Linked DNA regions of Alligator mississippiensis. The protein of the gene in region 1 purifies or fractionates together with the protein of each later gene. This does not show direct contact. Links are inferred from orthologs where the notes say so. Each region holds a gene or a part of one and is shown in the gene's direction. Other genes may lie near its edges.

Region 1 (12,087 bases):
ATCCATGTGCATGATCAGAGGTCAGGGAAGCAGACCCTACGATGACAGGCTGAGAGCCCTGGGGCTCTTTAGCCTGGAAAAGCGCAGGCTCAGGGGTGATCTGATGGCCACCTACAAGTTTATCAGGGGTGACCACCAGTATCTGGGGGAACGTTTGTTCACCAGAGTGCCCCAAGGGATGACGACTAGGTTGAACGGTCATAAACTACTACAAGACCGTTTCAGGCTGGACATAAGGAAGAATTTCTTTACTGTCCGAGCCCCCAAGGTCTGGAACAGCCTGCCACCGGAGGTGGTTCAAGCGCCTACATTGAACACCTTCAAGAGCAAACTGGATGCTTATCTTGCTGGGATCCTATGACCCCAGCTGACTTCCTGCCCTTTGGGCAGGGGGCTGGACTCGATGATCTTCCGAGGTCCCTTCCAGCCCTAATGTCTATGAAATCTATGAAATGAAACAATTGCAGCAGGTCACCTGGCTTGGACTGGGGAGTTGTAACCCACCTCTCCCACCCTTTTACATAGGTAGAATTGTGTTGTCTGTCGACAGCCCCACTTCCTGGTGTATGGTGCCAATGACAACTTCAAAGGTAGTGATAACATCTCCCTGCTTTCCTCCTTCCCTATACCTCAGCCAGTGCTGGTGCTGATGTTATAATGGTGAATGAGATGCTGGTGGAAGTGCTAATCCCTAATGTATCTGTCCTCATATAAAGCCAAATCCTTCTCTCCAGCACTTGCCCATAATACACCCCCCACTTCAGCCCCATGCTCCTGTCCAGTTTGCACCCTGGCATTGTAGCCTGGGGAAGGATCACAGGATGTTCCCAGAGCCACATAAGGGGGATGGGAACAGCCTAGCACACCACTTTGGCTGCTGTGTGCACAGCGAGGGGCTCTTGGAGCTGATCATTATTTCCACAGGCCTCTGATGTAGGCCAGCTCCAAAGCATTGCCGTGGTGCATTAGCGGATTCAATTGAATTCTGCCGAGGGAGATGGAGGAAAGTGCGGATGGGCTTGTTTCTCACAAATGACTTTAGGAAAGCACAGTGCATTGATGTTTTTTAATGGGGCTATGAACCAAAGCCTGTTAGCATTGTCAGGAAATGGAGTTATAATAATAGTCTTCCTTCTGACGGTTGAAAAGGGGCTACGGAGGGACCAGCTACAAAGTGTGCTGGCAGATAATTGCGTTATCCGACTTGTGCTGAACACAGGGGAGATCTCTGTACTCTAATCCCTGGGCAGGACACACCAAGTGGGAAACACATGTGCAGCTCCTGTTCCGCTTGTCAGCTGCTTAATCTGGTACCAGGAGATCAATGAGCACTGGGCATGTGGGACATGCACTCCCCCCCTGGTGAAGTAGCATGGAAAGGAGGAGAACTGGCCCAGTTCTTGAAAGTGGTGCTTTCCCGGTTTTTCAGGACCTGATGGCAGGAGACAGGAGGCAGATTAGCCTCTTCACGGGCAGGATGGGGGTAAAGGACTAGCTTTGATGTGGGGTTTGTAGGCCAGTTTCTGGGGCTCATGTTCTCCTCCTAAAGCAGGAGAGGGGAACTGTAAAGCCTACCCTGATTCATAGATTCATAGATTGTAAGGTCGGAAGGGATCGAGGAAGATCATCGGATCCAGCCCCCTGCACCAAGCAGGAAAGATAACTGGGGGTCAGGTGAGCCCAGCAAGGTGACTGTCTAGTCTCCTTTTGAAGAGCTCCAGGGTAGGTGATTCCACAGTCTGGACACCCTGACTGGGAAGAAGTTTTTCCTAATGTTGAGCCTGAATTGATCTTCCAGGAATTTGTGGCCATTACTCCCGGTTTTCCTCTCGGGTGCCCTGGTGAACAGTTGCTCACCGAGCCCTTGCTGTACTCCCCTCATGTAGCAGTAAGCTGCTACCAGGTCCCCTCTCAGCCTTCTTTTCCCCAGGCTGAAGAGTCCCAGATCCCTCAGCCTTTCCTTGTATGACTTGCCTTTTAAGACTCTGATCATACAGGTGTCTCTTCTTTGGACTCTCTCAAGCTTGTCCACGTCCTTGTTAAAGAGTGGTGCCCAGAACTGGACGCAGTACTCTAGCTGCGGTCTCACCAGTGCTGAGTAGAGCAGAAGAGTCACTTCCTTGGTTTTGCTGGAGATGCATCGATTGATGCAGGCCAGAGTATCATTTGCCCTACTGGCTACAACATTGCACTGCCGGCTCATATTCATGATGCATGCTGCGGTGCAAGTCCATGGCTGCCAATTGAGCTGGGATGGTGACAAAAGCATGGGAACCCCTCTGGTCCCTCCACCCCAGCTCTTTCTGAGGTGCAGAGGCAGCCTCCAAGACCTGCCTTTTCCATATTCTGCTTCATTTAGCTAAGTCCAGTATTTCTCTGTCCTCTGTTTTTTGCGGGGGACTTTGGCCATGGGCAGGGTGGGGAATCCACAGCTGGGAACCTGCACAGATGCCCCAGGGCCAACCCTGAATAGAAACAGGCAGAATGGTGCTTAAATATACCTTGGTCCTAAACTGGGATAGAACAAGAGGTTATTAACTGCAGCGTTCCTTGCCTACACCCACGGAGGGACACGGCTTGTGGAATCCAAGCTAATTCCACCTCCACCCTGCCCCTCTGGAGAACCAGCAGGATTCTTACGTGCCAAGGAAGTGAAGCTTGTGATTATTAACAAGCTTGTGAGGAAGTTCTTGATCAGTCTTGCTAATGATCTGTGATGCTCTTTCGACCGAACTGCATAGCCAACAGTTAGTGATGTAGCACCCTGGCCCCTTCAGTCAGAGGCTGAGAAATTTCACTTTGGTCCTCCAAGGAGACCTCTGTCAAAAGCAAAAGGAAAAACCTAATAGTTCCCAAAAAAACAAGCAGCACTGAAAAATAAGACCCCTGCAGGCCAGCTCTGTGCGTCAGAAAGGAACAACAAATGACTCAAGTTCTTGTTTTAGAGGTCTTTTATTTTTTGTTTTGCTTTATATGCAGGTCACTGAGAACAAAAGTTGTTTTTTTCCCCTCTTAATAAATTCTCAGCAATGTCTTAGGGGCAGCAATGATTGCAACAGGTTTCACGTGCAAGGCTGCTTGCTTGTACTCAGGATGTGGATTTGATTGAAAGCAGAGTGAGAAGGGGTTAATAAAATTTCCTTCTACAGGCAGAGGAAAATATGAATACAGAGCCCAGAGTCCCACCAAGGTGATAACTGACAGGTGAGCAGAGATATTGTAAGGATGGGGGGAGGGAAGATTGTGCCAGGAAGATCATTTCGCTGCAACCAGCCAAGGTGTAAGAAGAGATAAGGAATGGGCACGGATGGCAGTAAGGGAGGTGCAGGAGGCAGGTGACTGCAGGGCTCCATCTCTGTGCCACCACTGTGAAACCGGAGCAAAGCCCATTGAGGCTGAAATTGGCAGCTGGTTTCAAGCATGTTCTTTCTGGGGGTGGGGGATAATCCTGCTAGACAGGTAGACCCCTCCATCCCTGCTTTCCCAGAATGGGGGTGGCTGGGAAGAATGTGTAATGTACAAATCACAGGAAAATGCAAACCTGAATGGAAATGGAAAGAGACAGGACAATGGTGGCAGCCACTTTGCCTACTGGTTCTGTGGTTTGTGAAGCTATCCAAGGGTAGCAGTCCTTACACCTTGTAGTCAGGCCACATGCTTCCTGCCAGAACACTCCTAGCTTCCAGGAACAAGTGCTTGGTTACACTGGGACCCAAATGCATTGTCTTGAAACTCTCTGTGTGGAGAAAGACACAGGTGCCTCACCTAAGTTGCTGTGCAGGGCCATGCCTTGCCTGGGCTGGTCGTCTTGTCTGTAAAAGCACCTGATGATATCTGCTGTGCACATGTTTGTTTCCAAACTGTGCAAGCCATGAGTAATGCCACAGTCATATTTGGCTCTGCTCTGGCAGCTTTCATCTGAAGCTTTCAAAGCTCTTTGCAAATATGAGGCAGCCAGAAGGCCTCTGATAATTAAAAATGGAAAATAGAACGCTTTGTGTTCCTAGTAACACCTTCTGTGGGAGGATCGCAAAGCACATTCCAGCAGTAATGAATAAATCCTCCCCCTTTGCCGGAAGGGAGGTGAGTCTCATTATCCTCATTTGAGCAGGGAAGAAGAAGAAGAAGCGAATGTGGGTATTTAGGGACAATATTTTCAAAAGTGTCCAGGGATTGTGGGTGTTCAACTTAAGACTCCTTGGCCTGCTTTTTCCAAGGTGATTATGCAACTCCTGTGAAAATCAGGGCAATGATCTGAGCACCCAGAAATTGATGTGCCTGAAATCAGAGACTGACATTGGGGAAATTTTGTGGCTGAAGTGACCTGCCTGAGTCCCTTGAGGAATCAATGACAGATCAAGGAATAGAAGGCAGGCTCCTGACTCCCAGTTTGAACCCCAAACCTGTGAAACCCAATCGGCGTGCTGCCATTTTTCTGCACTGTACCATTGTCAGGGATAGATCTATGGGGGGTGCAGTGGCATGGTTGCATGCCCATTCCACAGTAAATGTCATGCACCAGTGTGACATCTCCCTGTGCTTGGGTCTCCTGCCGTGTCCAAGACATGGCTGGAGCCCTGGGCTGGAGTGAGACACCCAGGGGGATAAATCAGGGAGCAGCTGAGTGATGGGGGGCCTGCCCACTGCAGCCGTTGTCTGTAGCTGACCAGGGAGTGGTGGAAGCCACAGGACTGCTCCTATCCTGCTCCATCCAGCCAAGGGCTGCAGGGACTGGCTGAATGGGCTGCTGGGTCAGTGGCAGTGACAGAGAGGAGTTCCTGCTCCCTCCCCATCCATTGCATTTCCCCCGCTGGCCAGGGGCTCCAGCTGTGGGGAGCACATGCACAGAGGGCCAGGCACATTGCAGGACGGTGGTATCAGTAGATGTTCTGCCCTGTCCAGCACCTGCTTCCAGACCATGGGAGAGAAGGAGCAATCCTGGGCCTTCACCTGCCTCCAGGTTAGTTGAGGACAGCACTGACAGTGGACTTCCAGGTGCTCCTGCTCCTTGTTAGTTCCCCAGGTGTCCCCCACAATCTGGGAGCAAGCACTGGAAGCAGGGACCCATATGTTGTCATTATCCCTGGCCAAGCCTGATGCTGCCACTTACCAAAGCCGCCCAGTGGAGTGGGGCAGGAGCAGCTCTGGAGTATCCCCTGCTCCTGCGATAGCAGGGAACAATGGCGGCAGTGGGTGGGTCCCCATTTTTTGCACCCAGAGGCAACCCCTGCTGGAGAGGTGAATGGGAGGGGAAGGAAGCGGGTGCTGAGAGTTGGGGGGGAGGGGGTCTTACCTGCTTTGTGAACTTAAAAAAGTCCTCAGCAGCTGCTACCTGGCATTGTCTGTGGTGGGGTGGGGGGGCCTTCAAAGTCTGTTGTGGCACCAGCGGCATTTCCTGCACCTCCTTTTCAAATTCCTAGATCTGCCTATAAACATTGTCCTACTGTTTCCCCTTCCTACCACCTCTTAACGTGATGCATTTTACCACTGTTGAAATACCGAGTCTTTCATACAGCGCCGTATCTCAGCAAACAGTTCTGAGAAGGAAATAATTTGGTTCCCAAGATATTTCACATTCAAGATACTTTATTGCTGTTTCGAGCCAGACAAAGGATTATCAAAGAGCGACTGAGATGGAACCCTGAGGTATTGGTCCCTGCTTGCATGTGTCCCTGGCGACGGCTTCGCACTACCACTGGGTTTTTTTCTTTTCCTGTCCATTTGTCACTATTGCCCATGAAAGGGTGGCAGGTTGCTACATAGCGAGACACAACTCCTACCATCTCGTTCCTCTCCCCTCGGGTCACGCACAGCTTTTCCTCATTGCTTTTTAATAGGAAGTCCTTTATCATTCCTGATCATTGGAGAAAATATGTTTTTTTTTCGCCTTTCCTCCGGACTCGTGATGCTAGCGTGTAGAAGTGACTCGCTCTTTCAATTTCTCTTCTGTCACATTGTTTGCAGAGCCAGTCCTGTCTGGGTTTGCGCTGTGTTGAGGGGGCGTGCAAGGGAGAAACCAATGCTTTCATAGGAGGCTAAAAGACAAATGGGGAGGAATTGGGCTGGTGCAGACATGAGGAGCAGGCTGCCATCAGAGTGGGAGCCGGGAGAAAGGTGGCCACGTCTAGATGAAGGGAGGGGAGCAGAGAAGGACCTGCTGTGCTTGCACCCAGGGCTTGCAGAAGGAGGAAGGTGCTTTGCAAGGTGCTCCTGCAATGAGCATGGAGCCAGAGGAGGTGTTTGAACGTGTGGCCATTGGACGTGGCTTGGCCCATCAACCCAACCAGGGGCAGACATTGCTGAGGGTGCCCGGGGGAGCAGGGAGCTGCCCATGGTGTCAGATCCCTCTCCGAGCCCTAACGCCCACCTGTTCCTACAGCCGGTCTCCCCTTGCCCATGGGCAGGGGCCCACCGTGGTCATTAGTAGGTGGGGGAACAGAATGCGGCGCGGTGGGAACCGCGCTGTGGCCGTGGCAGGGATCGGGGCCGCGGAAGGAGGCTCCTGGGACACAGGGCCGGGGAGGGGGCTGGAGGGCAGCTGTATGGCCCTCCCCCCGGCCCTGATCCACCCCAGCCCCGCTCAGCCTTCAGCCCCGCCCTCACCTGCATGACGTCACCCACGTGGGTTTCCCCCGCGCCACGCCCTCCCCAGCCCACCTGGCTCACTCATCCCCTCGACTCCCGTTCCGAACCCTCCCAGCCAATCACGGCCCCGCCTGCCCCCCCCCCCCCACCCCAGCGGAACGCGCCTCGGCCAATGGGCCGCCGGTCAACACAGACCGGGTGGTAACGGAACCCCACCCCTGCGGGCATGACGGAGCGCGAGCCGCGCCAATGAGCGGGCGGCGGTGAGTGGGCGGGGCGAGTGTCCATGGGGACGGGCGGGGAGGGCGGGGCCGGGCTGCGGGCTCAGGGTTCGGCTGCCTTTTGTTCGCGGAGGCGGCGGCCGCGGGCAGTGGCCGGGCAGAGCGCAGCGCGGGGCGCGCAGGTGAGTGCGGCCGCGGCCGAGCAGCGCCGTGTCCCTCCCTGGAGCCGGGTCCCCGGGCTCAGCCTCACCCCTACCCCGCCCGCCCCTGGGTCCCGGTGCCGGTGCCCGCCCGGCGGCGCCCCCCTTGCACCCTCTGCCCTGGCGCGGGGAGCGCGGCTCTGCCCAGCCCTGGCTGCGGGGCTCTGAGCTCGGCTCCCCGGGGGCATCCCGCCGGGGACGAGGGGCCGGCCCCGAGCTGTGCCCCCGGGAGGGGCCGGGGCAGGCGCCTTGCGCTCCCGGCCTGGCCCCTTTCCGTCGCCGCGTGGCCGGCGGCCGGGTAACAGGTGCGCACCTGCTTGCAGGGACCGTCAGCTGCCAGCCGTCCAGGAGGGTCGATCCCGTGGACTCGTGCCGCCGCCTGGGGAAGGAGCATACGCTGAGCTGGTATATCGACGTACGTGTGTGTGCTGTGTGTGGTGCTGTTAGTGTGTCTTTGACCAACGGCGCGGCAGTTAAGGGCTGCAAGCAAACTTGTAGGCATAACATTAATACAACTCTGGCATCCGACCCCTTGATACAGTAGCATTTGCAAATGGCCTTGGTTTCTGCTCTCCCCCCCCCCCGGCCCCTTTGAACGTGGCATGTGCGAGGCTACAGCTGAGCTTCCTGCTAGAAGTTGTGTTGCAAGGAGAAATTGGATCCTGATGGGATCTTGAGAGTTGGAAGGCTCTTATCTGTCTTGAGTAGCACGTGGGCCCCGTGACCCAGTGCATGCAGTACAACCAGCGGAAGGACTCCGCTGCTTATTAAGGATGAGTGGTGTAAACTGGGTTTTTCTTGGCTCTGGCAGCTTGACTTCTCAGCTTTTCATTTGCTGTTTGCTAATTTGGGAAATCGTGGGAACAAGTGAGGTAGCTTGATTTAGCCTTGATCGGTGCAAATGACAGAAATCACTGAGCGAGATCCTCTCCAAATTCACTTCAGCTGGTCCTTCAAATGTTCCTTTTTGTAAAGCGCATAATGGGGCTTTCCTGTTTTGTTGCTCTTTTCCGGCTGCAGATTCTTTGAGGAGCAAGTTTGCTTACTTGGCTGGCCTTTCCGTGACAGTACAACTGCTGTTTCACTGACTGTTTTGGGAGGAAGAGTCTAATAGTGTTCAGACATAGCTCTCCATATGCTGACATAAGATGGCAATTTCTTTCCAAGGCATGAGCACCAAGCACTTAAAACCATTCCTCTGTATAATTGACAGGGCAGAAGATCAACACATGAGCGGCTTTCAGGAAGAGATTGTAGTGCAGCTGCTTATAATCTAGGTATCGGAGAATGTCTGGTTTCTGATGCTGCTGTATGGTATTGGGTCATTATAAAACAATCGCAGCATGGTGCTTTCTGGGTTTGCTTGGAAAAAGTGGTATGTGATTGCGTGGCTTTTTGCAATACACACCAGTAAGTACAGTGATTATGTGTGTATTCGGGAGCATTTGCTGTTTCGGTTTCCCTCCATTAGAATCCACTGATAGGTTTCTCTTCCCCTTCCTTTCAGCAGCCCTAACCTTGGGTTATATCATTGACTGCTATTATGGCACCAATCCTGCTGGCTTGACAGGATGAAGGATGGTGAAAGCAAAGGCCTGGGAACTGGAGATGCAGGCTCTGTGCATGGATTCATTGTGGAGCTCCCAGTTTGACCTTGCCAGAGTCGCTTTGGGCCTATCTGTCAACACTACCCTGAGCTGTGCAGTGAGAATCCTGAAGTGCTACCGCGTAGTTTTGTCAGGCTTAACTTTTGAGGTTTCAGAAGCGCTTGGAGGTCTTGGGAAGGAACTGCTGGAAACTTGCAGAGTACTGAGGTGTCTGGTCTTGCAGCTTGTTGGGCATAGACACTTGAGTTGTGCAAGGATGTGTCAGGATTGTTTGCCACATAGTCAGCAGCTCAGTGTTGCTTCTGGGGTTTTGGCAGCTTGTGCCTCCTTGTTCTCTGTGCTCCTTCCAGGGAGAAGGGGAGGGCATTGCCCAGCGTCTGTCAGACTCCTCGGAGCCAAGTTTTTTTGCTCCTCTTTGAGCTTTGTCCTATTTGCTGCACTCCACAGGATGTTGGAGAAGCATGTGAGAGAGAGAAAATGAGAACACATTGGCTTTTGGGTGTCTGTCAGAGTACCACAAACTGCCTTAAAACAAGAGGGAGTTAGTGCTGCTGGTGTGGAAGTCAGTCAAGTGTGTAAGGAAGATATGAAATATGCTGCAACCTCTATTTTCCGAGTTCAGGTTAAAAAGCTGAGGAATGGAGTCTGGAGAAGGAATTCGTGCGGTAAAATTAGAAGTGTGCTGTCTGCTACGCTGCAGGGCTTTTGGGGGGGGGGGGGGGAGAATACTCCCTTGCTGTCTTAGCCTTGACACTGGGAGAGGAGAGGGTGCTCTAATTGCATTAGCTAAATGATTAGCTTAATTAATCAGCTTTATAGCACAGATGAAAGGATAGTTCTGGAGTGTTGCTGGGAGTTGCCTAGGAAAAAAAAAGCTCTTGTATGAGGAGCTTGAAAAGATGCTCTCTGCCAGTGCTTCTAGTAAATTTTTTTTTTGTGTCAGTGCCCTAGTGTAGGCTGCTCTCAGTAGGGAGGGTATATTTTAAGTTACGCTGAAGAATAACAGCTATGCAAAAGACTGTAGGCGATGTGCATGGCACTGTACGAAATATCCAAATGGAGATCCCAGGAACAGGTTTCAAAGGCCTAAGGCAGTTGTTCTGATGTGAAGTGGCTTGATATGTAGCACTCTTTGGACTTTCCTTTTTGGGCTGGGATCCATTCTAATGCCCTCAACAGCCGTAGCATCTGGGCTTTCGGAAGTGGTGGGCAGTGGACATCTTGAGCTGGGGGGCGGGTAAAGCTGTAAAATACTTGGGATTCTCAATCAAGGTTGCCATTGTCAGTCACTTACAAGTGGATGTCGTTAGTGAAGCCTGGCAGGCACTGGACCTCATCTGCAGAAAGTACAGGCATGTTATAAAAGAAGAGACCTCCTAATGCTGACCATTTTCTTGGGTAGAAATTAAGGAGAGTCGAATGTCCTTTCACAATACCATCCAGCTCTCTAGGAAATCTGTTATTGTTGGTGTTCCTGCTGAGTGTCTGTATATAAAGATGCCTCCCCCCCCCCCCCCCCGCTCCACCTCTGGACAGGCATTTTCATGATGGAGATTAGATATGCTGAAAAACCTGCTGTTTATTTCTGGGGTCTTTCTCTGCCCTGAACCATCTGAATGCAAACGGCTATTTATTCTGAGGCAGGGCTGAGTTCAGCTGGGGTGTATTCCCAGCAAGCAGATCAGCATATTCCATCACTGCAACAGACAGAAGGATTGTGAGGTTTTGAAAGGCGAGGCTTATAGGTGTGTTCAAAAGCAAGGGCTGTGCCTTGGGAACCTTCTGAAATGAGTCATCCTGAACTCTGCCAGGAGGGAAACAAGCTGGCTACTTGCTTTCTCCCCCTCTCCTCCCCTCCTCAGGTTTTCTATCGGGTCGCTAAAAATACAACAGGGATGACATTAAGGAGGATTCATACCTCATGGGTCAGGTGCTGCTATGTCAAAGGGCCCTCCAAGCAGAGTGTTGAAATCTGCCAGTCCTGGGATTATGATGCTGGATGAGAGAAGTCAAAGGGAGACAGTTGCAGAAGTGAAATGGAAGGCCCAACTGGGTGTGCCCCACGCATAGTCACTGCAAGTCACTGTCTCATTGTACCTCAGCTTTCCCATCTGTGAACTGGGGAGGCTGATGATTGGCTTCTTTTGGAGCACCATGGAATAGCTACCTAGATCCAGTGTGGCTATTGGGCAGTACTTTACCCTTTGGTTGCACTAGTTCTTGGACTGGAAGAACAGGATTAATCTCATCTTCCCATATTTCTTTTGGACCAAAGAAGGGCAGAGGGCATATGAAAGCAGGAAAAAGAAAATGGCAGGGGATGATTGTAGGTTCCTGTCTATTTTTCACTGTGATCCTTTGTAACGTCCCACAGCCAGGTGCTTGTTTGCAGACTGCAATTCTAATGTTGCCTGTAATAGCCACAGTCACTAGGGTTCCTGTGGCAAACAATTTGAGGCCACTGCAGCCTGCGTCCCAAGAAGCAGTTGGCTGTCAGTACAATGGGCAAGGCTTTTCCATTCACAACCCAGGGGGCTTGTAGGAAGTCGCATCTGTTGCTTGATTCTCCTTGCCCTGTTCAAAACTTAAAAGGTTCTTGCCTACAGCTGGTGGATATTGGCTCCTGGATGAGCTTAGTGCAGTGTATACTGCTTGTCACAAGGAGTTGGATGCTGCTGCTGTTCAGTTAATCTCTACCAGGCAATCCCGTCTTTCCTTGAAATTCTTCCCTTCCTAATGGACCTTGTACCTCCAGCGGCATTTAATTTTGAAAATTACTCTCAAACCTTGGGGGTACTCTCTCCTACCTTGGGGGTCTTCAAGATGAGGCTGGACAGATTTGGCTGGGGTGATACAACACTAGCACCTGTTGCTGCCCAGGGCAGGGGGTCGGACCTGATGATCTATTTAGGTCCCTTCCGCCGCTAAGCACTATGATACTATGATTACCTAGACTGTCTTTCCTCTAAAGGCACTTAACCGGTACAAGAATACCAGTATATAACTCACTGGCAAACTTCCCTAATGTGGATGCAGCCACTCTGTGGGCACGGTGAAGTTACCCAGTGTAAGAAATACCAGTAGAAGCTTGGTCTCGCAGGTATCTGTTAGAGGGAAAACATAAGGGTGGGAGTGGAGCTAGTTAGCACAAGAACAGATGGGAATGAAATGGCCATGAATAAATTCAGGCTGGGAATAAGAAGTGAGATCCTATGTGATCAGGGAGGGTTTGGGAGAGTCTCTCACTAGGACAGCTGCTGGGAGAGGGTGGGGGAGGCACAAATACCTGATGGCTTGCCAGGCAAGATTATGAAAGGGATTATGTTAATGTGGTAGTGTAGGATAGCAAGGTGATGGGGAGATGATGGCTCTCTACTAGTCTTAGGTTCCTGTGTATGCAAAGGCTGCTGTTGGCACTGCTCCATCAGTTGGGGGTCACACTTTGGTGCATGCCTGACTATTCTGCTGGTGTGT
Region 2 (12,195 bases), on another chromosome or scaffold:
GCCTTTTCAGCAGAACATAGAAACAGTGAGAGGCACTTTCCCTGTTTGTGCTTTACCTCTCTCTTCAACCAATATCCTGGCATGAGTGTCCATTCTGCAAGCACATGATCAAATATGTAACTTTGTAGGAAATGGGACTATTCACACCCTTAAAAGTGCATGTGGGTTTAGGGAACTGAGTCCTTAACTAGACGTGTTGTTGTCTTAATCCCTGTTATCAATTATACATTTCAAATAATTCATAGTTTCATGGTTTCATGGTTGGTAGGGTCGGAAGGGACCTAAGCAGATCATCTAGTCCAACCCCCTGCCATGGGCAGGAAAAGATGCTGGGGTCAAATGACCCCAGCTAGCTGGCTGTCTAGCCTCCTTTTGAAGACCCCCAGGGTAGGGGCAAATACCACTTCCCTTGGAAGTTGGTTGCAGCTCCTAGCCGCCCTGACTGTGAAGTAGTGCCTCCTGATGTCTAGCCTGAATTTACTCTCAGTCAACTTATGGCTGTTGTTCTTTGTTACTCCCGGTAGTGCTCGGGGGAACAGGGACTCTCCCATTGCCTGCTGGTCCCCCTTCGTCAGTTTATAGACAGCCACCAGATCCCCTCTCAACCTTCTCTTGTGGAAGCTGACCAGGTTCAGGTCCCGTAGCCTCTCCTCGTAGGGCCTGCCCTGCTGCCCCCTAATCATGCGAGTGGCCCTCCTCTGGACTCTCTTGATGCTGTCCACATCCCTCCTGAAGTGTGGCACCCAGAACTGGACGCAGTACAGTAATTATACATAATGTATGCTTCACTTTTATGTAATAGTTTCTGTCAGTAGATCTCAAAATGCAGATTCTTTCTTTTATCTTTGTTTATCCTATAAGATAGAGAAGGCACGGAGAGAATGTTTAAACAAAATCAATTTCTGTTTAATTATATTAAAAGCAGTGGAATTTTGACATCAGAGCATGCCCTTTAATTCCCAGACAGACAAGTGACAATGGTAGTTTCTATGCAGTAGGACATTTAAGATAGGAGAGGCAAGAAGTTTTTTGAGTGATAACTTTTATTACAGAGGAAGAACTGTATAGTTGGGATAAACTCTTACAAGCTTTTGAATGCAAAGCATTCTTCTTCAGCACCTGATTGTATATGTATTATAACCTTCAGGTCCTGAAGAAGAGTGCTTTGCATTTGAAAGCCGGTCTGACTTTATCCTAACTATAGTTTGTCCAATAGAACGTATCACCACAAACAATCCACAATTCCAGCACCAACACTGCCACAATATCACTGTAACACTGCCACATTTTAAATGAAACAGACAGTTCTGTGGTTTTAAGACAATGAGAAATATCCGTATATTACCTTAATATGACTTACAAAGAGCTCTGAGAATTTCATCAGGCATGAGGTGGACTGGATTTTAGACTGTAGCAAGACTAGCAATACCTGTTACATTCTATGACTGTTCCATTAAATTCAATAAATTGATCAGTTGCTGTTTTCCACCTTTTTAAAAGAACTAGAGTAGATTCACCACTGATTGCATGAGAAGCAAGACTAAACCTTGGGTGTTTCTACCCCAGGCCAAGAAAAGAATTATTCATATATGAGTTTTGATTAGAGTTGCTATTGTAGCTTTACTCAGCATGATATGGGAGTGACACTTATGATGAATGACATGAGAATGCCTTTCTGGAGGCACACAGGTCTCATGAATATTACTCACAAAGATAATACAGGATATATTCACAAATAATAAAACATAGAAAATAAATGTTGATGTTATCATTATATAGGAAAATATATGATGAGAGCATGTACCTGTATTTGTTGTTAAATAATAAGTAGGTCTTTTAAAGATATTGAAAGAAATAGCAGTTTAGATTTGATTCTAATAGTAACTGATGTCATTGCAAAAAGTCTCACTTTCCTCAGTGGACACTGGAGAAGGAATTAAATTATTTTTATATCATTGGGTACATCTACACATGCGCTTTACTGCACAGTCGACTAATTTACTATGCGGAAAAGCATCACCATCTACACATACACTGCAATTAGGGCACAGTACATTAATTTACTCCAGCACAGGATAGTCCTGTCAGACACGAATACTATCTGACAGCTGTAAAGGCCAGACTGCTGATAACAGGACAAATTAACTACCCCTGTTAATGACAGTAGAACCAGGCAGCATTGCTCAGTGTGGTCCAAGATGACAACTTACAGAGAAGCGTGCTTGGCTGCTAGACAGTGCAGAAGGGTAGCTTATAAAGAAACAGAGCTGAAATGCTGTGAGCCTGCTTGCTGGAGACAGGCAGCGGAGAGGTAAGCCTGCAGATTGAATAACAGAAAAACCTTGTGCTTGGTTCTGAAGAGCAGGCCCTTAGGTTGACAAACAATATACAGGTGATACTGAATCTATTTGTAGCCCACCAGATTAAAAATATTGCATTCAAATAATATTGAGGACTTCAATCCTGTTCTTCAATATGTTGTATGCATCATTATGCATCTTGTAAAATGGTAATGATTTGCACTTCTATAGTTCCTTTCATCCAAGACTTACAAATTCTTGTGAGAGACTGTCACAGCACTTTTCCTAACATTAGGTAAGCCTCAGAGCATTCCTTTTATGGATGGCATTACTGTGTAGGTTCACAAGTAGCTATTCTGTGCCACAGAAAAGTTGCATGCCTTGATCAAAACCATGAAGTCACTATTACTCAGAAGCAGAGCTAAAAGTACACCAGAATTGCCATTCACATATGTCTTTGATTTTTCAAGTGGGAATATTCCCACTTGATGTGCATGTAAATACAGCAATGTCTGTCACAATTTCATGAATCAAAAAGGCAAAGAAATTTTGAGTAAAGATGGCTCTCTGGACTTACCTTTTTCACATTAATGTGTCTCATTTGGTTCTACCCATCAAGTATGAATTAAATCAGGTAGACAAGGTTCTTTGGGTAAACCCAATATCTTTTATTAGACCAACTAAAATAGTTGGAAAAAAGTCTTCTTTGCAAGCTTTCGCATACAAACTAACGTAAGGGTGTTTATATCCAAAAGCTTGCAAAAAGATCTTTTCCAACTATTTTAGGTGGTCTAATAAAAGATATCAGACGTACCCAAAGAATGTCGTCTGTCTGTCCTTTGACCAACATGGCTACAACCTATACCCCTGAATTAAATCAGGTGGCATCTATCAGAAAATGTTATCAAATATTGTTCTCTGGTAAAGGAAATAACTTGCAAGCCATTCCATTTTGATTAAGAGTCTCATCATTGGTAGATTCTGTTGGAGCAATTCTTTCTTCTTTCCCATGGGCAAGGGAAAGAAGAAAGAATTCTCCCATGAATTACTCATTAATGACGACAACTTCTTATGAGGGAATACCTTGTTTTATACATGCTCCAACCTGCGGTCTGTCTTTGTATGATAAAGTAGAATGAACCCTCCCTGTGGTTGAAATCTTTACTCAAATACATCATCAACCAAACATGCCACAAAGACTAGAAGACTATGAAGACAAAACAAAAGACAAGTTTTGTTGCCTGTGAGCGGCAGTTAAAAGCTAGGAGGAGATATATTTTAGTGGGTCTCTGTTATTTATGTTGACATTCTAGTGCCCTTTAAAGTTGTCTTGTTTTCTTGCTGTTCTCCTGTTTTACAAGTGATTCTGAACTTATTGCAAGCCTCTCTGAGCCTTTGTGGGGAAGGATGGCATATAAATTGAATAAATAAATGGCATGCATTATGATGCAACTCCTTACTGATGAAAACATATTTTCCTATATAGAAACCCTACCCCACCCCATCTATTGTGGACAGAAAAGCCAAGGAGGAAACAACTGGAGAGAGAATAGACCAGCTTGGCCCTTGTCATAGTCCCTCCAAAGCACAGCAGAGGCAAGTGGGTGGTGAAATGTCTGAGGATTTGGCTCCTGCTCACCATGATATAATTACACAATAAACTGCTCCATAGCACAATAAATTTAGACCAGCCACATGGGCAAAGCCATTCTCACAAGATAAAATCCGTTATCTAGCTCTTCAGAAGAGCCAACCTGCTCCCAAGCTAGTGCTTGAAAACATGCAACACCTCTGTAGCTGTTTTCTCTCCAGCTTTCATGTGAATGTGTGGCAGGGCCCCAAACCTTGCATGCCCTTTGATTTCATAGATTTCATAGACAATAGGGCTGGAAGGGACCTTGAAGATCATCAAGTCCAGCCCCCTGCCCCAGGGGCAGGAAGTCAGCTGGGGTCAAAGGATCCCAGCAAGTTAAACATCCAAACACTTCTTGAATGAGTCCAGAGTAGATACTTGCACCACCTCTGGAGGGAATCTATTCCAGGTCTTGGGGGCTCGGACAGTAAAAAAATGTTTCCTTATGTCCAGCCTAAAACGGTCTTGGAGGAGTTTATGACCATTGGTCCTTGTTTTTTCTTGGGGCGCTCTGGTGAACAGATGTTCTCCCAGATCCTGATGTACATCTCTTATATACTTATAAGCAGCCACCAGGTCCCCCCTGAGCCTGCGCTTTTCCAGGCTGAAGAGTCCCATGGCTCTAAGCCTTTCTTCATAAGGCATATTCTGTCATCTGATCACGCGCGTGGCTCTCTTCTGGCCTCTTTCAAGCTTCTTGACATCCTTCTTGAATTGTGGAGCCCAAAACTGGATGCAGTATTCCAGCTGCAGCCTCACCAAGGCTGAGTACAGCGGGAGGATGACATCCTAAGATTTACTTGAGAAGCATCTATGGATGCATGCCAGAGTAGTGTTTGCTTTGCCAACTGCGACATCACATTGGTGGCACATGTTCATCTTGTGGTTAATCATGACCCCTAAGACTCTTTCAGCCATGGTGCTAGCAAGCATAGCGCTGCCAAACCTATAAACATGCTGCGGGTTTTTTCTCCAAGGTGGAGTACTTTACATTTATCTATATTGAACGTCATCAGGTTTGTATCCACCCAATTACTAAGTTTATCCAGGATTACTAGCCTGTCCTCCAGTGTGGATGCTATGCTCCACAGTTTAGCATCACTGGTGAGTGTGCTTCTGACACCAATGTCCACATCATTGATAAAGATGTTAAAAAGAACCGGTCCAAGGACAGAGTCTTGGGGGACGCCACTGGTCACGGAGCACCATGATGATTCGCTACCATCGACCACTACTCTCTAGGTCTGACCTCGGAGCCAATTACCCAGCCATTGGACTGTGGTGAAGTCGAGGCCACAGTTGACCAATTTTTCCATGAGGAGGTCATGGGACACCAGATCAAAGGCTTTTTTAAAGTCCAGGTATATGACATCAATCTCTTCTCCCTTGTCCAAGTGATACATCACCTGGCCATAGAAAGAGATGAGATTGGTCAAGCAAGACCTACCTGCAACAAACCCATGCTGGCTATCTGTCAGGATGTTGCCTTTGGCCTGATTATCCAGAAGGGTGTCCTTGATAATTTCCTCCAGAATCTTACCGGGGATTCAAGCTGATTGGCTTGTAATACCTGGGATCAACTTTCTGCCCTTTCTTGAAGATGGGTACCACATTGGCCTTCTTCCAGTCTTTAGGTACTTCACCTGAGCACCACAAATTTTTGAATATTTTTGCCAGTGGTTGGGCTATGACACCTGCCAACTCCTTGAGTACTCTAAGGTGTAATCTGTCAGGACCAGATGACTTGAAGGTGTCCAGCCTCTCAAGGTGATCCTTTACTAGATCAACACCGATGCTGGGTATAAATACTCCCTTACCCTGGCCATCTTGCATCTTGCTAGGCAGGACAGTCCTGTTGGAGTGATGAAAGACCAAAACAAAATACTCATTGAGCAGATCGGCCTTTTCCTGGATGTCGGTTATCAGCTGTCCCGTTTGGTTCAGCATGGGTCCAATGTTACCCTTGCTTCTTTTCTGACTCCCTACATATCTTGCCAGCACTGGGGTTGTTATGTGAGAAAACAAGGGCTCAGTGTGTCCCAGCTGGAAGAGACCTCCAAAGATCATCTAGTTCAGTGGTTTTCAACCTTTTATCACTTACAGCCCCCTAAAAATTTTCAAATGGAGGTGCACACCCCTTTTGAAATTTCAAATGGAGGTGCGGACCCCTTTGCATTGTAAGTGTGGGCATTTACATACTTTTGATTGAACATAGTCATCTTTTGTGGATCCCTTAGACAGTCTGCAGATAACAGGTTGAAAACTACTGATCTAGTACAACCCCCTGCCTCAGGCAGGATCATCCCTATCCAAACCATAACCTAAACTCTACGTAAGACTACCGTCAACCCTGACACGACACAGCCCTAACACCTTAATCCACCTGAGGTAAAGCAGGGGAACCACAGATCTCAACACCCCGCTTCTCTGAAATGTTGTCAATATAGTGCTTGGGAGGAGGTTGAAGGTGGATGGAGCAGCGCTCAATTCTGCCAGACTCTATTGGTGAGGGGGGCACGGAGGCTGGGGCGTATGGTGACCGCTGGCAGCGTCGGTGGCAGCCAGTGGCGAGTGGCGACTGCCTGCAGGGGGTACACCGTCAATCTCAGGAGGTGTGCGTGCACCCGCATGCCGATGAAACCACTGGAACAGGTTACCCGGAGAGGCGGTGCAATCTCCATTCTTGGAGGTTTTCAAGACCCTGCGAGACAAAGCTTTGGCTGAAATAATCTAGTTGGGGATGGTCCTGTTTTGAGCAGGGGGTCTGACTAGATGACCTCCTGAGGTCCCTTCCAGCACTCATTTCCTTCGAGTCTATGATTTGGAAAAGCATCACCTGATTTCTAGCAGATGTCTTCTTTTATGAGGACGGGTGGACAGAGGTGCTCATTGTTACCCGGCTCAGGTTCTGGAAACACCACAACAGGTTTCTTTTGGTAACACAGGGGTGAGCCCCAACACTCAGGCTCAAGCCCCAGCCGGCTAGAGGTGGGCTCATCTGCAGTTTGCACTAACTGGTGTTCTGTTCTGTTCTGTTCTGTTCTGTGTGGAAAGACTGGTGCAGGATCACACTTGGAAACCTCCCCCCAGTCCAGCAGGGCCGGGCCGGGCCGGGCCAGGCCGGACGGAGCGCGCGGGGCTGGTGCCATGGCCCGTCTCCGCACGGCGGCGAGGCTCCCCGCACCAGCCGGCCCGGCACTCCCGCACAAATTGTCGCCACAAGGTGCCGGGAGGAAGGGAGGGCAGCGCCCCCACCCGCCGCCGCGGCAGCAGGGCAGGGGCCTTTGGCGGCGCTGCCCCGAGGGGGGCGGGCTTCACCTGCGCCCTCCCAGGTGCGGGCAGGCCGCTCCCTCGCCCCTGGGCGGCGCGGCTCCATTTCGTGCCGGCCGCGGCCTGAGCTGGACCATGGCTGCGGGGCGCGGGGCTTGGCTGCTGGCGCTGGTGAGTGTGCTCCTCGAGCGGGGGCTGCGACGCCGCGGGGGGCAGCGCCCTGCGTCCCTGGCTCCGCGCCCGGGGACAGCCCGGGCCGCTGCCGACACCCCCCCCCCGGTTCCCTGGGGTTTGAAGGGGATTGGAGCCCCCCAAATCATGTAGGGGCCGGGGCCAGGTGAGGGGGCCGGGCCGGGTGGTGCAGGACGGGCGGGGCGGATCCCGCCGCGGGCAGGGCAGGGCTGCGCTGGGGGCCCGGCGTAGCCCTGGCTGCCTGGTTAGCGCTGTCCGAGGTTACACGGGCTTGTGGGAAGGTCGCCTCCCTTCTCAGCGCTTCAGGGGTGCTGGTCTGAGACAAGAAGACGTACAAGCAACTAGGACTGGCGGTTCCAAAATGATCCCTTTTTATTAGACCGCCTGGGGCTTCCCCACCTCCTCCTCTTGCCTGGACTCTGCTGCCTTATGGCAAGCCGCCCCCAGGCTTTGTGGAGGAAGGGGGACACCTAAATGGGAGAGTGGGTTTTTTGCTCGCTGGTTCTTTCCATCCCGTGAGGAAGGGTGAAACTTTAAACTGAATGTCATCCCAGGCTACGGAGGGGAAGTCAAAGCCTCGGGTATTTCATGGAACTGAAGTGGTCTGGCGGCCCTGTCCTGTCAGCTCACTGCCAGCACTTTTCTTGGCTCGTCATCTCTTTTGCTCCCTGGCGAATTTAATTTACCTATGTAAATGAAGTGTGTTTCTCTACTGAATATTTAGGGTATTTGGTATTGGGTTATCCTTTCCTTTCTTTGAAGTGGATATCAAGAGTCCTTTGAGTTTGCTTGTATGATAATTCTAGTGGCGGTTCTTGTGAGTACGAGATTTTTGTTATGCTTTTATGTATTTTTTATATATTTCTAATAAAAAAAATAATCTTTTGCTCACTGGCAGCTTGTCTGAGCAGCCAGCAGGCTAGACAGCTGACTAGGGTGGCCATCATAGAGGACAATCCGGTTGTCCTCTGTTGATACAAAACTGGATGCCTTTATGTGCTCTATTTTTCTCTTGAAGAGAAGGATCGAGGACGTAAAGGCATTGGGTTTCGTATCAATAGAGGACAGAGTAGCAGAAAACTGGAATGTCCTCTATGATGGCCACCCCACAGCTGACAGAGCCACACAAGCAAGAGGTGGGCAGCTGGGGGCTGTGTGGCACTTGCCCACCCCAGGAACCAAAGAGGGCAGGAAGCCTGGGAGTTGGGCAGCGCAGCAAGCCTGGCACCTTACCAAGCCATGGGCTGTCAGGTGGCCACAGGAGGTAGCTAGCTTGCCCCTCTGAGGGTTTTCTGTTTGAATACTTGATTTTGTTGAATTGGAATTGCCTCTGAAAAATTGCCCCAATGGATCATTTTTGATCAGCTTTCATGATCGCTTCCTAAGCTTTGGATGATAAAGGCAAATTGTCATAACACAGTCAATGAAGAAGTGAGACCATGTTGATAGGAAGTGTTTCACTCGCTGTTTTAAGTAACACAATGGACAAATTTACAAATATTGTACTAGTTTGAATGTTTCACAGATTCATCCTCTGGTAGGATTGGGGCTAACTGAAGGGCACTCCCTGGGCTCAGAACTCCACTGGTTTTGTCTGGTGTAGGAAGAAGGTATGGGCTGCTGTTGGAGCGATGATGGCTGTATGAGGCAAGTTTGCCTCAATACAAAATACTACCCACCCACCCACCCCAAAAAAACCCAAACAAACAAAAAAGACCCCCTGGAAAAAGGTGCTTTTGTTAATCATGGTAACTCGAGGCTAGATAGGACCTGAGGTCTAATTGAACTAGTGGTGTTAAAAGGTGTGCAATGTCCCATTGTCAGGTGGGATATACATTTACATCTACCTTGTTTAAGCTCTCAATCAAAAGAAGCACCTTTTTACCTAATCTAGACAAGACCGCAGTACTTGGTTGTCAGCACAAAAAAAAAAAAAAAAAAAAAAGAGAGAGAGAGAGAATAAAATCAGGAAGAGGAGGATCAACTTTTTGTCTTTATTTTCATATGTGGAAAAGGTCTCAAACGACAGAACTAAATAATAAATGTGGTTGTTTTGATTTAGTTCTGCTTGCTGTCTACTTCAGAAATACCAAGAATATAAAATAATCTCCTCCATGTTTTTGTTGGGCGTCTCCCTCGAGACTGAAAACAGGACCTTTCTTGGCTCTTAGTCAATGGGGTTAGAAATGTCCCATCTTTGACAATGAAATATTGTTTGAAATCTGAGTCAGGGGTAAACAAAAATAAAGTTAGTGTTGTAAAGGAGTGGCTAAAATCACTTCTCTCAGTATTTGCTCAAATTTGATTTCCTGGATACTGGTGACATTGTAACTCTTCTACCATGTCTATAATTAGCCACAGAGTTCTTTAGAAAAAAGCCAGAAGAAAAAAAGATATGCACCTCCAACATGGAAGATATTGAGCTTTTTCAGAATTTCATCGTTCAGCATAATGAAGCAGATATGAGCACTCCCTTACCTTTCCCCCTGCTACCTCCCATTCTTTACCTTTTTTATTTTGTAGAGAGTGTCTGTTCCGTTCCTACTTCCTTGGGGGCCAGATAGCCCCCTCTGTGGTGAGATGTATTGGAGGGAAGTTTTCGCAAAAACTTAAAAAAAAAAAGAAAAAAAGTAGAGAGAGAGAGACAGTGGAGAATTATTATAATATTCTTTATTAATTATATTATTATATTAATTGTCAGTTTATATTAATATTGATTATATAATATTAGTATATTATATATAATAGAGTAGAAATCTCCACTATATACAATATTAGTGAAGATTTTTCCTCACAGTATCCTACTATAAATGGAGTTTGTTCATCTCATCTGCAGCCTAGTGGATTTCTCCAAGTTTTTTCCTACTTGGAGAAACTACAACTACTCACTTAAAAGCCCTGAATTTCTACAGCAGCAGTAGTCGATGAAGGCCTGCCTATATCTAGCATCTGATGAAGTGTCCTCGAGTTCATGAGAGTTTATGCTTTCTATGTAGATCTTATTTAGTTAGTCTGCAAGGTGCATATCTATGCAGTCTCTTCTGCCCGAGTTCAGACAAACATAGTTAACCATCTCACACAGCCTTCACTGAGAACCCAGCTCTGTTAGACTCCACCTTTGTCCATACAGTTCCCAGGGACCATAAGTAGATCCTCAGAAGATGTAATGCAGTTCTGACACCATGTGTGTTATTAGTAGTGTACAGTTTGAGTATAGATCTCAGAATAAAGGAATAGGGGTTAAATTATCAGGTTTATCTCAGAGAGGTCCCTCTGATTCCATGACAGGTTAGTTTCTTTAAGAGTCTTTGAGGGACCTCAGAGCTTTTAAAAAATCCAGGTATACTATATCAAGTGGATCCTTGATATCCAAAATTTTGTCTTTTTTATTATAAAGCCTGCCTAATTTTATGGGGACAGAAATTTAAACCCACTGATATAGCTCTGTGATTTATGTATTTATTAGGCTTATTCCTTTCTGCAGGAGTGTTGATTTTCATTACTTTAGGATTGCTGTTACAAAGTGGCTTATCTAGATAGTGTTTGAACCACATCCTGCCATTATTCAGGACTAAAAACAACAGTTGCTTCTTGTCTTGAGAGTTCCAGAACTAGTTACTGTGACAGGAGCAAGCTTTCATGCCTGGTGCAAGCACCGACCTGCCCCCTGTCTACAGGTCAGCCACCCACCTCACTTATCTGCCATGCCTTGGTGTAATAATATTGATGTGATAGTTGGGCAGGAGGCTGCCCATTATACACCCTGATTTGGGGGGGGCTATTCACAGCTCAGTTCCACCCCTACACTGTGGCCCAAGCCTCACAGATGGCATCTCAGGCAGGCATCTCAACCATCCCCTTCACCCATTAGCCGTGGCCCCTTTTTCTGGGACCTTCTGCTTCCCTTTAAGCCCTGGCCCTATCTCAGGCCAGTCAGGACCTCAAGCTTCTCTGCTTTATAGGAGCATCCCTCACAGTGGGCCCCTGGCCCTTTTGACCCCAATCTGAGTCCTGGCCCCAGCATTGACCAGTCAGGTCCCTTGGGTTTGGTCTAAGCCTCCCGCCTGCACTCAAGGATCAGAGTCCCCGTTCCTGGCTCAGGTACTTCACAAAGCATGCCTCAACCTACAGGGTCAGCTCACCCCAGCAGGCTCAGGAGCTTCAAGAAGCTTACCTGGCCTTCCCTGGATTAGATGGATAATATGACACACCCAAAGGCAAGGGCTACTCACCTTTCACTGGGGTGGTAACTGGCCTGGCATTTTCCTGGGGTTTCCATGCCACTGGGAGCCCCACCAGGCCTCCCATTCCCAGCAGGGCACAGTTTTAGGTCATGCCCAGGATGAGAGCCTCTTGCTCCTACCTGCAAGATATTCCCATGCAGCAGCTTAGCCAGGCAGTGTTTCTTGCCTAGTCCCTAGCAGGAAACTGCTCTAGTTTATATAGGTGGCCAGAGTTCTAGAATGGCTGCCGTAATCAAACACCTGCTGAGTGTTTAATCTAGCCCTGAAAGTGGCAGGCACCACTGGTGCCCTGCCACAGTTACCATATTTAGTCACATATAAGATGACTCTGAATTTAAGACTACCCCCCAATAATTAGAATCTGTATATGAAAAATATATAAGCATGTTGTTATTTCCCAGGTATAGAAACTAATCATTGGAGATTTGTCTTGAATTTGGCCCCCTTGCACTGCTACAGCAGGGAAAATTAAGTTTGGGGCATCAGGTAGCCTCCTTGTCCTCTGCCTCCCAGCTTCTTCCTCCTGCAGCCCCTTCCCTTCTGCCCCAACTGACCC

What was found.
Region 2: the proteins of JUP (region 1) and desmoglein-2 purify together in Homo sapiens (affinity purification with western blotting; 3 studies listed by BioGRID and IntAct, with this or other methods). This does not show direct contact. The link is inferred for Alligator mississippiensis from reciprocal best matches to the Homo sapiens genes JUP and DSG2.

Annotation. Positions count from the first base shown.
Region 1 is NC_081827.1:163,142,594-163,154,680, forward strand, and holds the start of JUP (junction plakoglobin), read left to right. Parts: upstream 1-6,894; 5' UTR 6,895-6,988; intron 6,989-7,329; 5' UTR 7,330-7,411; exon of another isoform or gene 7,412-7,421; intron 7,422-12,087. UniProt on the Homo sapiens protein: Common junctional plaque protein. The membrane-associated plaques are architectural elements in an important strategic position to influence the arrangement and function of both the cytoskeleton and the cells within the tissue.
Region 2 is NC_081826.1:81,647,681-81,659,875, reverse strand, and holds the start of desmoglein-2, read left to right. Parts: upstream 1-7,247; 5' UTR 7,248-7,338; coding exon 7,339-7,374; intron 7,375-12,195.